Canis lupus familiaris: one gene and its partner. The protein of the gene in region 2 interacts with the protein of the main gene of each other region in a pairwise test. Links are inferred from orthologs where the notes say so. Each region holds a gene or a part of one and is shown on either strand. Other genes may lie near its edges.

What was found. The genes of interacting proteins can lie anywhere in the genome.
Region 1: the proteins of ZNF410 (region 2) and SERTAD1 interact in binary tests that used the Homo sapiens proteins (3 or more experiments, as listed by UniProt). The two-hybrid records come from large-scale screens. The link is inferred for Canis lupus familiaris from reciprocal best matches to the Homo sapiens genes ZNF410 and SERTAD1.

What each region holds. Positions count from the first base shown.
Region 1 is NC_049222.1:114,050,526-114,058,286, forward strand, and holds SERTAD1 (SERTA domain-containing protein 1), read left to right. Parts: upstream 1-3,774; 5' UTR 3,775-3,934; intron 3,935-4,386; exon of another isoform or gene 4,387-4,541; intron 4,542-5,632; coding exon 5,633-6,346; 3' UTR 6,347-6,694; downstream 6,695-7,761. UniProt on the Homo sapiens protein: Acts at E2F-responsive promoters as coregulator to integrate signals provided by PHD- and/or bromodomain-containing transcription factors. Stimulates E2F1/TFDP1 transcriptional activity.
Region 2 is NC_049229.1:47,425,555-47,433,184, reverse strand, and holds the start of ZNF410 (zinc finger protein 410), read right to left. Parts: upstream 5,756-7,630; 5' UTR 5,660-5,755; intron 1-5,659. UniProt on the Homo sapiens protein: Transcription factor that binds to the sequence motif 5'-CATCCCATAATA-3', and is specifically required to silence expression of fetal hemoglobin in adult erythroid cells.

The DNA.
Region 1 (7,761 bases), on a different chromosome or scaffold from region 2:
GGAGGGACGAGACCTCACTCACCTTTTTTTTTTTTTTTAATTTTTATTTATTTAGGATAGTCACAGAGAGAGAGAGAGAGAGGCAGAGACACAGGCAGAGGGAGAAGCAGGCTCCATGCACCGGGAGCCCGACGTGGGATTCGATCCCGGGTCTCCAGGATCGCGCCCTGGGCCAAAGGCAGGCGCCAAACCGCTGCGCCACCCAGGGATCCCTCACTCACCTTTTAATAGGCCCTCTTTGCCCCACAGATAACCGAGTGAAAAGGCATCGTGTAGCTTGCTAGCAGCACAGTGGGGGGCAGCTTAAGGAGCACCCCCACTTTCCAGATAAACTGAGGCTCGGAGAGGCCCAGCTCTTGCCGGGTTGAAGAACTGAGAGCAGTGGAGAGGCCTGGCCCGCACAGTGACCGGGTCTGAGGGCAGAGTCCACCCTCCCCAAACCGCCCGCCTCCCGCCCGCGGCGAGGGAGGGGGCGGGGGCGGCAGGAGGGAGGGGGCGCGGCCGCCTCGGGGGCGTGGCCGCGCCGGGCCCCGCCCACTCGCCCCTCCCCCCGGAGCTGGCGGCGCGGCCGAATGCCCCGCGGGCGGCGGCGGCGGCGGGAGCCGGCCCGGCGCCTGCTGGCTCCCCAGAGGCCGGGTGCGGCGGCCGGCCGGGGGCGGGCGCGCCCCTCCCCCTCCCCCTCCCCGCGGGCGGAGGCTCCTCCCCGGGCCTGCCGGGCACGCCGGCTGGCTTCTGGCTTCTGGTTTCATTTCCCAAGGCCTGACCTCTCTCCCTTTCCCTTCCCCCAGCCCTTTGAATTCCTGGCTCCTTCTGCGCTCTCTGGTCTCAGCTCCGGGGTCGCCTCCTCAGGGACGCTCCCCTGGACCACCCTGGCACAGGCCTCCCTAGTCTCCGCCCCTATTTTGTTTTCTTCGAGGCACTGAGCGGAGACCGAAATTCTCTTCTTCCTCATTCATCTCGCAGGGTCTCGTCCCGCTCGGAATAAAAACCTAACGTTCCGCCGAGGGCTCTAAACGGCCTGAAAGCTTCTCCGACCCCGCCAGGCAGCCTGCAGCCCGGGGACACTGGCCCGGCTCCCGGCCCGCTCGGGCTTCGCGGCCTTTGCTTTGGCCCTGCCCTCTGGCTGGAAGATTCTTCTTCCAGAGCTTTACTACCTCTCTCATTTCACCGGGTCTACTCAATGTCACCTCCTCAGGGAACTTTCTACCAGCACCAGCACCAGCACCCTATCTACAGACACCGCACACCACACACACTTTCCTCTCCTGCTCTGCTTTATTCCTTTCCTTTTCACTGGTCACCTTCCAAGATACTAAATTATTTCTTTATTATAAAGTGTATGGTCCACCTCCTCACATCAGGGATTTTTGTCTATAATATTGCTGCCCTATCATCAATACCTGCCAGAGTGCCTGGCACACAGAAGGTGTTCCATCCATGAGTGTTTTTGTTTTCACACTTCTTTCCTCTGCTTACCCCTCTCCTGATCCATGAACAGAGAGACCGTGTGAGGCTTATCCAGTACTGTACCCCTAGTGTCTACCACGGTGCCTAGAATACAGTAGATGCTCAATAAATACATGTTAATCAAGCTCTTGAGACTCCTGTGAGCTCTCCAGCATGTGATCCGGAGCAAGCCACTTGGAGACTCAGAGCCACCTTTTTTTCCCAGGTCATGAAGATAGGTTAGGGAGAAAATTCTGTGAATTTGCCTGGCAGGGGCCTGGTTCTAATTAGCATTTTACTCTGTTTTTATTATGAAAAATTTTAAGCATATATTAAACATGGGGGGGGGCATGTAGCTATCCCCCCCACCACTTCCCAAATCAGGATTTAGTAAGAGTTCCTATGCTTATTTGGTTGTAATAAAGAAATCATATAGTAACTTTCATTCTGGAAAATTCTCCACCACCAACCCCACCAGTCCCTTTCTCTGTTTTCTCAAAATTGAATTTTTGGTGGAACAGCCTAGTTGTGCTTGCAGATGTCCCACATTCTGTATTTGTGTTCCTGTAAAATTTGTTCCTCTCTGTTTCCTGTAAGCTGAAGATTAGGTCTAGAGGCTCCATGAGATTCAGTTTGTGAAAGTTAACAGGGAGACTCCATAGGGAATGTCATGTACTTCCTAATGCATCATGTCAGGTGGCACCCAGTGTCAGGGTGTCCCATTATGGTGGATGTAGAGTTTTATTGCATGGTTAAGGTGGTGAGCATCACATCTCCACATCATAAAAGACTATTTCCCCCTTTGCAGTTTGTAAGTAACCCTAGTAGAGGTATGTGTGGGAGCCTGCCAAGATCCGGTTAACCTTTCACCCTAAGGTTTGAACATCCATTGATAATTGCTACCTGAATCAACTAGTTTAGTTAGCATTTTCTAGAGCTTACTTTGGCCAGGAACTCTATTCACAACAGTTCTTCCCACAATTCAAAAAGAGTTAGCAAATGAGCTACTTGGAGAAGTTAAGTCCCCTTGTCAGTTTACCAGACAAGCGTTAACTTCCTGTCTACCCATACCCGACCCCAGGTGTCCTGCCTTGAATTAAGCACCTGTGCTATAACCACAACAGCTATTACTACCAACAAAAGGACATGTTGTGCACCATTCTGAGCACTTTGTGGGATTATTTTTTTCTTTTTTTATTTATTTGAGAGAGAGCATGAGCAAGGGGGAGGGGTAGAGGGAGATGGAGAAGCAGACTCCCTGCTGAGTAGGGAGCCAGATGTGGGACTTGATCCCAGAACCCTAGGATCATGACCTGAGCCACCCACACGCCCCTCTTTTTTTCTTTTAGATCTTATTTTTATGAAATGTCTACACCTGGGACGCCTGGGTGGGTCAGCGGTTGAGCATCTATCTGCCTTTGCCTCAGGTCATGATCCTGGGATCTAGAATTGAATCTTGTTTGGGCTCCCACCAGGGAGCCTGCCTCTCCCTCTGCCTGTGTCTCTCATGAGTAAATAAATAAAATCTTAAAAAAAAAAAAAAAAAAAAGAATCTCTGCCCCCAGCGCGGGGGCCTTGAACTCATAACTTAGAGGTCAAGAGTCACATGCTCTCGACTGAGCCTGCCTCGGGCCCCTGTGTGATTATTCTTTTTAATCCTCAAAATACTCTCATTTTAAAAAGGTGAGGAAACTGAGACCTTTGGGATTAAAATTACTTGCCCAAGGTCACACAGCTACTTAGGGAATGGAGCCCAGGATGTGACTCCAGTGGCTCTATTCCTATCCCCACCGGCTCCCCCTCCCCCTCCTGTAACCACTATTGAGTCCAACTGCTCAGCATTTGCTTAGTGCGCTATGGTGCTCTTAAAGACACAACCTTATTTTAATTTTCCCGACTCTCAAGAGGTAGGCAAGAAGCTGTCCATTTAACAGACTTTGTGTGTGGCTCAGAGAGGTCCAAGGATTTTTTTTTCCCTAGATCGCACGTTGAGTAAGTGGTCAGAATTTGAACCCATGCTTATCTGGCTTAGAGTGCAGACCTCTGTTAGGACTGGGTCTGTAAGTTGCTCAATTGCTGGGTTTGGCAAATGTACGGGCAGGTGTGAGGGGCTCACACCTTGAGAAGGAAGAAACCCCTCCCAGCCACTGCCCCGCAGTGAACACAGCCACCCCACCTGGCCTCGGCTCCTTACACAGTCGCCAGGCATGCGCCCTGAAGCCACCCTCCCCTCCCTTCGAACCTTCCTTCTCCAGGCCCCGCCCATCACCGCCCAAGGCCAATCGCGGGCCGAGGGCGGGGCCACCGCGGGAGTGGGCGGTAGTTAAGGGGAGTCAGGAGCCTGGAGTCGTGCGCCGGAGTCAGAACTGCGTCTACCGACCCAGGCGCCGGCTGCTGAAGGAGAGCGAGCGAGCGATGCTGCCGTCGCCGCTCCCTGATTGGCTGCGCGTGGATCCCTCTTCGTTCTGATTGGCAGCGGGTGAGCTAGGTATGTAAATGAAGTGAAGGGGGCCGAGGCGAGAAGGGAAACCCGCGAGGGGGTCGTTTGGCAGGTTCGATCCCCGGGTCCGGCCGGTGCGCGCCGGGGCTGCCCGGGATCGAGATGCGCGGGCCCCCGAGTGTCGCCCGGCCGGGCTGGGTGAATCACGCCGCAGCCCGGGAAGGGGGCGGAGGCGCCGGCTCTCTGGCTCCGGCTGCGTGACTCACCCGCCCCCGCCGCCGCCGCCGCTTCGGGAGGAGCCGCCTCCACTGCCTGCCGGAAGCGAGCACAGGCCGAGAGAGCAGAACAGCCCTCGGGGTTCCCGGCCCGCACGGCCCTGCGCTGCGGGCAGGAACGACAGCCAGGACGTGGGGCCGTATCGAGGATCCCGGGGTCCGAGGGGCCGGAATCCCCGGGGAAAGCCGTTCTGGCGCCGCTAGGGGGCGCCGGGACGGGGGGGCGGAGTCCGGGGAGGGGGGCGCCTGAATTCCTGCGGTTCTGGACTCCCGGGTCTTCGGGGAAGGAGGCGAGGACCGTTTTGAGAAGTGTGAGGAGTCGCTTTTAAGGTCCTGTTGGGCAAGGGGATTGGAGCCTTCAAGCTTCCAGGCTCAAGAAAGTAAGTTGGGCCTGGCGTCCAGAACGCCAGGGGCCCCTATCTCGGGGAGAGTGTGGGTCCTCAAAGTTCTCTTGGTGACCCCCCGGTGCCGGTCAGGATTTCCCAGCGAGCCATGTCTACTCTGCCTCCCAAAGAAATCCGGAAGCAACCAACTTCTTTCCATGTCCACTGCCCTCCACCTTCCACTTCAGGCCCCCACCATCACCCGCCCCAGAGCGCGGTGGCCTCTGAATGGAGCTCAGGACCGCGCTCTTCCCCGTTTCCCTTCCTTTCACCCTCATCTAACTCGAAGCAGCCGAGGGGGGATCTTCTGGAAATCTAATCAGTTCACAACACCACCCGTGTTCCCTGCTCAAAATCCTTCAATGACACTCACAGTAAAATCCAAACTCCTTGCCTCTGCTTGCTCTCCAAACCCGGTCCCCTTCCGTGTCACTCTGCGCTGACCACACTGGTGTTTTATTTTGTTTTGTTTTGTTTTGTTTTTTTTCAGTTCATGCTCATCCAGCCTCCAGGTCTTTCTTTGCCCTTGTTGTTCTCTCTTCCCGGAATGCTTTCCCCTGGTCCTTCTGTGGGTGGCTCCTCCTGCTTGAGGAAGGGTCAGCTAAAATGTCACCTCGGAGGAGCCTTCCGTGACCACTCCCCAGAACCTTTGAATATCTTCCTAGCACACCTCTACATTTCCTGTATTTATTTATTTATTTGTCTGATGGGTAGTAGACAGTAAGTGTCGGATGGAACTATGTAAAACAGCTGCTTTCATGAGTTAAAAAGATTGAATTTTGGGCATTTCACATGGTTCACTGAAGAAATACATAATAATAGCTATTAAGAGTATTTGTTAATAAGAATCGTTACAATGTACTAGGCACTGTTGTAAGTGCTTTTTTGTACGTTACCACATTTACTCTATATAACAGCTCCATGAGGTAGATACTATGATCACTCATATCTTCAGGTTTCCCTAAGAAAGCACAGGTTCAAGAAATTAAATGGCCTGCTCAAGATCACACCAGACATAAGTTATCAGAGACAGGGTTTTTAACTTAACATTGACTTTCCATAACTGAATGACTCCTCCCTCCCTGCAGATGATGCTGAGCAAAGGTCTGAAGCGCAAGCGGGAGGAGGAGCGGGAGAAGGAAGCCCTGGCAGTGGACTCCTGGTGGCTGGATCCCAGCCTCCCAGCAGTGGCACAGGCCCCCCCGGCCGTGGCCTCCAGTTCCCTCTTGGACCTTTCTGTGCTCAAGCTCCACCACAGCCTGCGGCAGAGTGAGCCGGACCTGCGGCACCTGGTACTGGTAGTGAACACGCTGCGGCGCATCCAGGCATCCATGGCACCTGAACCTACCCTGCCACCTGTGCCCAGCCCGCCTGCGGCCCCTTGTGTGGCTGACAATCTGCTGGCCAGCTCAGACGCTGCCCTCTCAGCCTCCATGGCCAGCCTTCTGGAGGACCTCAGCCATATCGAGGGCCTGAGCCAGGCCCCCCAGCCCTTGGTGGACGAGGGGCCACCGGGCCGCCCCACTGGAGGATCCCCACCCAACCTGGGTGCCTTGGACCTGCTGGGCCCAGCCACTGGCTGTCTGCTGGACGATGAGCTTGAGGGTCTGTTTGAGGACATCGACACCTCTATGTATGACAGTGAACTTTGGGCACCAGCCTCCGAGGGCCTCAAACCTGGCCCTGAGGATGGGCCTGGCAAGGAGGAGGCTCTGGAACTGGATGAGGCTGAGCTGGACTACCTCCTGGACGTGTTGGTGGGCACACAGGCACTGGAGCGGCCACCGGGTCCAGGGCGCTGATCCCCACAACTGGGATGGTGGTCTGGTGTCCAAACTGAGCCTGGTGGCTGGACCAACTCTCCTTGGAAAGACACAGCTGGCTTCCTTAGAGCAGAGAGAGGGCCTTTGGAGAGACAGAATCCAGTCCTGAGCAACTTCACCTCTGTCCTCTTGTCTAGGACTAATGAGGGGAGTCTGGGATTGGCCCTTGGGATGGGATCACAGGGCCTGGTGGCTGGAATGTGATTTGGACCGGGCCCTGTACTGGACTGAATCCCCAGGGGTTATAGCCTGGGATACTCTTTCCCTGATGTGGGAAGAGACCGCACCATTTTATGGAAATTAAAAACCAGTCCTGGGAAATTTCAAGTCTGTGTGCTTTGTCTCTGGGCTAAGGCAAGGGTATCATGATGTTCTCCAACATTTAGTGAGCATGGACTGTGTGTACCTGGCACAGTGCTTAGCACTGGACGTGTGTTAACTCTTCCCATCAGCTGAACAAGGTGGGCATTATTACTATCCTCACTTTACAGCCCAGAAGCTCTGAGAGGTCATCACGTGTGGAGGTGGGTTTCAAATCGTGAGCTTTACTGCTTTATTGGTTTGATAAGCAGATCAATTAGCTCTGGTAACTGGCCCTCTAGAAAACTCCCCAGAACATACCCAGCCAGGTTTCCCTGATGCACCTGTGTGTGTACATAATGGTGGTGGTGGCCATGGAGGAACCTGGGCCCCTTGAAGTCGTGTCCTTCCTTGCTTGGAGTGTACCTGTGTGTCTTGGAGCTGGCGAGGGGTGGGGGGTGGGGGGTGGAGGTGGGCAAAAGGGAGCTTTCAGAATGAGCCAGAAATAAAAGCCCAAAGGTGGAAGCTGGATGGAGCCTCTCCAAAGAACACGGAGAGCAGGCTCTCCAGGAAAATGGGGAAAGATAACGAGACTCCAGCAAGTTAAAAAAAAAAAAAAAATCCACTCGGGATCTCACATCTGTCTTTGAGCAGGGGATAGGGCACCTTGGAGGGTGACTCTGAAATAAAGCCACCGGGCTTAGTGGCTTGACCGCCAGGCCGGCCGTCCTGCTTTTCCTTCTAGAAGAAACCCAGGCCCGGGCCGAGGCCACCTGCCAGACTGCTTGTGCGATAGGGCTGGCCCGAGCGCCGGGTGTCTGCGCCGCCCCCGCCGTCCAGCCGCATTCCTGGCCCGGCTGGGAGGGGCCGCACACTCAGAGGCCTGGCACGGGACCCAGGCGGCGTCCTTCCTGGCGCTGGGGGCAGGGCAGCGCCGGGTGCGGGCGGGGGAGGGGCGCGGCGGGGGCGGGGGCGGGGGCCGGGGAGGGGCAGAGGGCCGGACGGCGGCCCCGGGCCCAGCTGGGCCTCGATCGCGGGGTCGCCGGCCCCAGGACACCAAAATCGCTGGGCCCCGGGGCCTCCCCTCCGGCCGG
Region 2 (7,630 bases):
GTATCTTCAAAATCTAAAATACATATATTAAAAAGAGATTCAGCCATAAATGTAAAGCCATTAATATATACCTGCTATAAATATTTATTACAATCAGCAATTATTGATCAGTCTTGGGGAAACTGAAATTACTTGAATCCTCACACAAGACAGGAATTAGTAGTTAACACCATATTGGGAGGGTAAAGATAGCCTAAAACTAATACAGGCTACATGGAGACATATTGGGTGGAAAAAACAAGCCAAAATAAACTAAACACGCAGCATTGGAACAGAGCTGATACAGGTATCTTGTCTCAATCCTGACTGCCATACAGAAGGGAGTGTATTCCAAAGGGAAAGATGACCAGGGGCTCTTACTGCTATCTCAAGAAACAAACAGTATCATTGTGTCGACTTCTAATAAGCAATGTAATTCCATCCTAGGAAAACAAAGTCTAGAACATCAATACTGCTCTTATTTGAGGGAGGTAGAAAATGCCTTGACCCAGTTTCAGAAAGGAGAAGGGTGGGGCAGTGAGAAAAAAGAGGCAAGAAATTGAGAAACACCGTGGTCCCCCAGCTGGTCACCAATCTGCTTCTCCCTCCATATCTACCTCCGGCTGACCACAAATATAGATCCAAACAATGCTTCACTAAAGATTAAAAACTAAAACAAAAATTCTACTAATGGTAGGGAATTACCATGATCAAAAATTAAAGTAAAATTTAAAAAGCAGTTTAAATTTTGGTATAAAACAATAGTCCTAGGGGAAAGAAAAACCAAGTAACCTTTTATAGTCATATCTAGTATATTATGAAAGTTGATTAAATTCTAACAATAAAGTAGTAAATAACAGGTACTAGTGAAAGAAATTTGGAATGGAGAACTGTGAAGCCAGAATGAATTTTAGAAACTATCAGGTTCATCCTGGACCTTCCGTCTTCCTTTCCAGGATCTGCTGAGGTGTTCCATTCCCATAGCCCTCATTTTTATTCTAGTCACCTCCCCATTTCTCTCCAATTCTTTAGAGCCAAATTTATCAAGAGACTGGTCTCCACTTTCAACTCTCCAATCACTATCCAATCCCATCACTTCACCAAAACTTCTCTTGTAAAGGTTACCAAAAATCTTCATGTTACCAAATTCGATAGACACTTTGGAGCCCTAATCTTACTTGACCTTTGCAATGAGCAACTATTGTTTTTAATTGTCCCACATTCATTTCCCCTGCTTGAGTGATAAATCGGTGTTATGTTTGGGGATCTAAGCCTCTCCCATTGGATATGCCCTTGGTAAGATCATAGATTAAGGTATTCTTTTCTTCATTGGCCAACTGTTGCACACTTGACCCACATTGAACAAAACAGACACTTTTCCTCAGAATGTGAATTGTAAAAGAAGTAACAAAGGGTTGAAAACTGCTGCAGCAGCCCATTCATGCCAGTAATGATGCGAGCAGATTCCCCTGGGGCTGCTCGGATTCCTGTCCTTCATAAAGCCAGGGCCTTCATCATCTCTTTAATCCCAAGAGCTGCCCACACCTTTGTTATGAATTCCTCTTCTGAAGCAAACTAGTCACTTGTAACCAGAGCCATAATTGGTATTATCCCTTAGAAGTACTGCCTCCTTTCTCAAATACTTTACTTACACTCTCTGCTTCCAAGATACATGTTCATTTTACTCTCTCATCATTGCCATTCTTCTAGTTTCCTTTTTTTTTCTTCTTCTTCTAGTTTCCTTTGGTAATCCCTATACTCTTCCTGCACTCTGCCTCTAAATATTAATATTCCTCAGGATACTATTCAGGCTCTCTCTTCTTGCTACAATATCCTCCAAGTGTGAATTTGTATCTTTAAATGATACTGTCGCCAATTTTTTAAAGTTTTTATTTAAATTCCAATTAGTTAACATACAGTGTAATATTAGTTTCAGGTATATAACAGTTATTCATTTCTTCCATACAACACCTGGTGCTCACTACCAAAATTTTTATCTATAGCTCTAATACTCTGAGCTGCAGACCTGTATATACAATTGCTTACTTGACGTCTCTGCTTAACGTTTTAACTCGATATCTCAAATTTAATATGTCCAAAATGAATTCTCTCCCAACCCTATCTGCCATCACACCACGCCAGTCTCATTCACCACAACCCTCCACTCAAGCTGGGACCACCACTGACCCCATTTAGGAGTCATTTTTATTACTTTCTTTCCTTTGCTCCCAATATCCAGTCCAGCTGCAAGTCCTATTGAGACAGCAAATCCACCTATTTCTATCTCTACTGCCACCTCCCTTTTTCAGGCCAGCATCAACACTTGCTCTAAAACTACTGTTAGTGCTACCTAACTGGTCTCCCTGCTCTTGTCTCCCTCCACTCTATTCTCTTCACAGTAGTAAGGATTATCTTAAAATGTGATCTCACTCACCTGCTTGAAATTCTTTACTTGGCATCCCAATGCACCTAGAAAAAATCCAAACTCTTTATCCTAGCCTATAAGAACCTATGTGATCCTCTCCTCGTTCCCCAACCACACTCCAGAGTCACTCTCTGCTCACCAAGCTCTAGCCATCTTAGTTCCTTGAACAAATTAAGCTCTTTCTGATGTTAGAGATGTGCACATGTCATTTCCTCTACCTTGGAACACTGTCCCCTCTCTCCATTGGTTAGCTCTTTTTCACTCCTTTGGGCTCTAACTATCAACTCATTTAGAAAGGCTTTGTCTGCCTGACCACCTTACCCAAAGAATATTCCTAATACTTCCATCTTTAGTCTCTAACTCTCCTATTTCTAATTCCTTTAGTTTTATATAGTATTTGTTTTTTGTCTGGCTACCTCCTAAATTTTAAGTTCCATAAATAAGGGCAGGAACTAGTCTGTCTTGTTCATAACTTTACTTTCCCCTACCTAACACAGTGTCTGGCAAAGTACTATATGTAATTCATAAGGAAGTTACATCTCCAAGAGTCATTTCTGATACTGTGACACTCTAAGATTGTATTTACTATGAGATTAAAGGGCTTCCATATAAACTTCCCTGCAAGCACTTAGTAGGCACTAAGTATCCGTACAATGAATGAATGACATGCAAATAATACCAAAAATTTGTCTCTATTCCTGACCTTTCTTCTAAACTCCAGATTTCGGGATCCCTGGGTGGCGCAGCGGTTTGGCGCCTGCCTTTGACCCAGGGTGCGATCCTGGAGACCCGGGATCGAATCCCGCATGGGGCTTCCGGTGCATGGAGCCTGCTTCTCCCTCTGCCTGTGTCTCTGCCTCTCTCTCTCTCTGTGACTATCATAAATAAATAAATAAAAATTAAAAAATAAAAAATAAAAAAAATAAACTCCAGATTTCATTTCTAACTGCTTGGATATCCATCTCAAACCAACAATGTCCAAAATCCAGATTATCATCTCCACCACCAAACCTGTTCTTCCTATATTATCCACTTAAATTATTGCCCAATCTTCTTCCCACTCAGCTGCAAATTCTAGGTCTTTAACAATATCTCATCCTCCATATTTAAATAACCCCAGTAGATAGCTGAAATATATGTAACCAATAAAACCACTATTTAAAAAATAAATAAATAACCCCAGTAGTTCTGACTCCCTCAGATTTATTCCTCCTGTAATACTCTGTTTAGGGCTCATTATCTTTCAACTACGCTATTAAAATAGGCTTCTAAGGGGTCAAGCTGCCCTAAAAATTCCCTTTTCAATCTGCCTTTTTTTTTTTTTAATTTATTCATGAGAGACACAGAGAGAGAGAGGTAGAGATACAGGCAGAGGGAGAAGCAGGCTCCATCCAGGGAGCCCCATGTGGGACTCAATCCCGGGACTCCAGGATCACGCCCTGGGCCGAAGGCAGGCGCTAAACTGCTGACCACCCAGGCGTCCCTCAGTCCACCTTTTTATGCAGCCACTTGCGTTATCTTTCTAAAACACAGAAATGCTTATGTTACTCTACTCATTCAAAATTCAGGGCCTGAGAAAATTCCTAAGCCTGGCAGCATGGCATTTCAAATATTCTACAATGTATCCTCAACTACTGTTCCAGTTACAGCACTGTCCATATTCCTCAATTAACCCTTTACTCCAGCCGACAGGGACTGGCTTTTGAATGAACACACCAGCCTATATCAGTGCTCAAGTCTTTGCTTAGACTAGTTCTTCAACCAGTAATAAGTACTGCCAATCCAGTTGCGATGTTTTAAAATCCTTTCCAGTCTTTAAAATCCAACTCAAGTGCCGTCCTCCAGTAAGACTCTGATCCTTTCCCTCCAGTAAGAACAAATCTCTCTTTTCCTTGGTGTTCTCACAACACACTGTTTCACCTCTCTTTAGCAATTATTCCATTCTGTCTTGGTTGTTAATTGTCTACATGCATATTTTTTTCACTGGTTAAGGCCGCTGAATTTATTCATTCTAACTCTGCATTAACCAAGTATGATGCTTTGAACAAATTAAGCATTCAGGAAGTATCTGTTGAATAAATAGGTAAGTCTCTTCCCCTGGGGGGAGGGGGGAGCTAGAGATTAAGTAACTTGTCAAAAATTCAGACATTTACTTAGATGCAGAATTTTTAAAAATAAGAACCTAAGGGCAGCCCCAGTGGCCCAGCGGTTTAGCACCTGCCTTCAGTCCAGGGTCTGATCCTGGAGACCCGGGATCGAGTCCCACGTCGGGCTCCCTGCATGGAGCCTGCTTCTCCCTCTGCCTGTGTCTCTGCCTCTCTCTCTGTGTGTGTCTCTCATAAATAAATAAAATCTTTTAAAAAAAAAATAAGAAGAACCTAAATCTTCTGTTCAGTTGAGTTTACTCTGTCCACGCTAAGATCACCCAAAGTGGAATTTCTCACTCCCTAACAACAAAATGCCACTGACTTTATTTCAGAATGTTTCTTTCACTCTCATTGAAAGTATGTTGCATTGACCCGCGTGCCAAAGTGAAGAAATACAAATTCTTGAGTCCCAAGTTAGCAATATTTAAACTTCCGAATGGTGCCCCATATCCCACATGCGTGAGCAAGTGGGATAAACTTTAATCGACTAACTGCATTCTTGTCTCTGAAGAAACTTCAGAGGATAAATTTAACCTGCGAACGCATTCAGCCCACAGCCTCGCCTGGAGACGACAGGAGGAGAAGCGAGCAGCCAAGCCCCTCAGAGCCGGCAGCCTTCCTCCTAGACTCAGGAAGTAAGTGGACGTATGAAGGAAGAAGGTAGCTCCGGGCCGAAAGAACCAGGGCAGAGTCCCTTGGCATCCTCGTTCCCCCTCTGCAACGGCCTTAGCGTGAGGCCCCAAGGGCCGCGGGCAGGCCCGGCGGCGGGTGCAGTCCGGCAGCCCCCGCCCTGGGGACTCGCTGACTCCAGCTTTCTCGGGACCGTCTTGTTCCCAAGCCCCCGCCCTCAAAACCAAGCAAAGGAGCCGAAACCTCCGCCCCACTACGCCGCGAGGGGCAGGGCCGAAGCCGCAGGGCTTTAGACCGGCCGCTCCCGGGCCCGCCAGATCTGGGAGGGGTGCCCAAGGGGGGCGGCTTCCCTGTCCTCTCCGGGCGGTGGGGAGGAGGAGCGAATTCGGCCCCAGCTCCCGAGAGGCCGCTACCGGCTCCCTCCCTGCCGGGGACCACCTAGCCGCGCGGGTGTGGCCCGGCCCGGCCCGGCGCTCACCTTTCCGTCCCGGGCAGCCGGCCGGCCGTCAGGCGGTCCCGAATTCCGTCCACACACAGCGTCTTCCGGCTCCCGCCGGAAGCAGCAGGAGCGCGGGACAGGAAGTTTGGCCGGCCCCCAACGCTCACACCCACTCGCTCGCCCCGGGCCGGACGGCGGCCGCCCCGCGCCGGGGGCAGCCTGAGGCGGGCGAGGCGCGCGGGGACCCGGCTGTCTGAGCAGGGCTGGACCCCCGCCCCCGGGACTAGGGCTGCGGTCTCCGGCGTCCTAGTCATTCCAGGCCTCGGGGCCCCGAGGTCTGCGAAACCCGAAAAACGGGGTCAGTGCATTCCAGCCGTGACGTCGCCGCTTCCTCGCAGCGGCAGATGAGGTAGTTTTTCCTGTCAGCTGAGATCGGAACTAGTTACAATGGAGGCCAGCGAGAAGGAGAGCACTCCTTAAACACCGACCAGAGTTCTCACTGAAGAGGAACACTTCGAAGCTTCACTGCTTGAGAAGGGAACTTGCAGAATCTAGCTCAGCATTGCATTCGCACAGGGTAAGAGTTGAGACTCGAGTGTACGACTTTCCTTGTAACATGATCTCCCTAGAGTCTGGGTTCCCTGTGTTAGGATGCAAAGAGGTCTCGGATATCCACACTGGGGACTAAAACACTTGAGCTCCAGGCTGGATGCCACAACTAACTTGTTAGAGCTTTATGCGGTTGAGACTTTTGAAATTACTCATTTGTGAGTACCTGCTGTGTGCCAAAGGATGAGGACCTCAACTGAGGCAGTGGCAGTGATGGAAATTAAAGGCGTTCTCTAAGAAAGGTATTTATTTTCAAGGTTAAACACAAGCCTTAATGATAGGCATCTGAATGAGTGAGGGAGTAGTAGTTTGGGTGTGCAAAGGATGGTGATTTAAAAACAAAGTAGAAACACGTAAGAGGAAGGTAATTTCTTTTTGGATAAACAGTTTATCCCAGGTGTCAACAGGATATTTTACTTGGGAGGTCTTAAGCTCGAGTAAGAGGTCAGAAATAGAAATGTACTCTGCCTTTGGCCCAGGCCATGATCCAGGGTCCTGGGATGGAGTCCCGCATGAGGGTCCTGCGAGAAGCCTGCTTCTCACTCTGCCTCTCTGTTTCTCATGAATAAATAAAATCTTTAAATAAAAAAAAAGAAAAGAAAGAAAGGAAAGAAAGGAAAAAAAAAAGATTTGGGAGTTATCAACATATAAACCAGAGATGAAGTGCTCTCTGGAGATGAAATGGTCCAGGAAAGGTATATAAAACGAGAACACTGAAGTCAACCAGAGTGACTGATTTACTAACAATGTAAATCTACTTTCCACAAATGTCGCAGGCAAAAGTATAGAGCAGGGTGTAAACAGGTGACCATAAACCAACACAGCACCTAGGAAAATAAAATCAATTTTATTGTTGTAAAGGGCTGATTATAATTAATGAAACAGATCCTCTTATTTAAAGGCACATTAATTTTGAACGTTCATGTTTCAAACATTTGTTAATTTTCTTAGTCCTGTCATTTTCTAAAGCTGTCTTGATTGCCTAAATATTTCTAATCACCTGAAACTTCAAGTGATGTTTATATCTATTTGCCCTGGAAAATCTTTATGCTATTTGACAGTATATGCCTGCTAACTTAAAACAAACATGCTTTATCAATATATATTGAGTTTTTATGCTATAGAGGAAACTAGTTAGCAAAACACAGATCATCCTCTGTAGTAAACTAGTTTCTTCATCAACCTGACTGACCTGTTATTTATCTTCTCAACACAAAGTCTCTGCTCTCCTATCCTGAAAACTCCACAAGCTCTAAATTCCACCCCCCAAACTCTAACACGTGCCCTGCTATTAAATCCCTTTTCTATCTACAATACAGAAAAGCCATCCCAATTCTATTCTTATACCAAGTTACAGTTCAAGAATTATATAAAGCATTTCCAGGTCAACATACATTTACT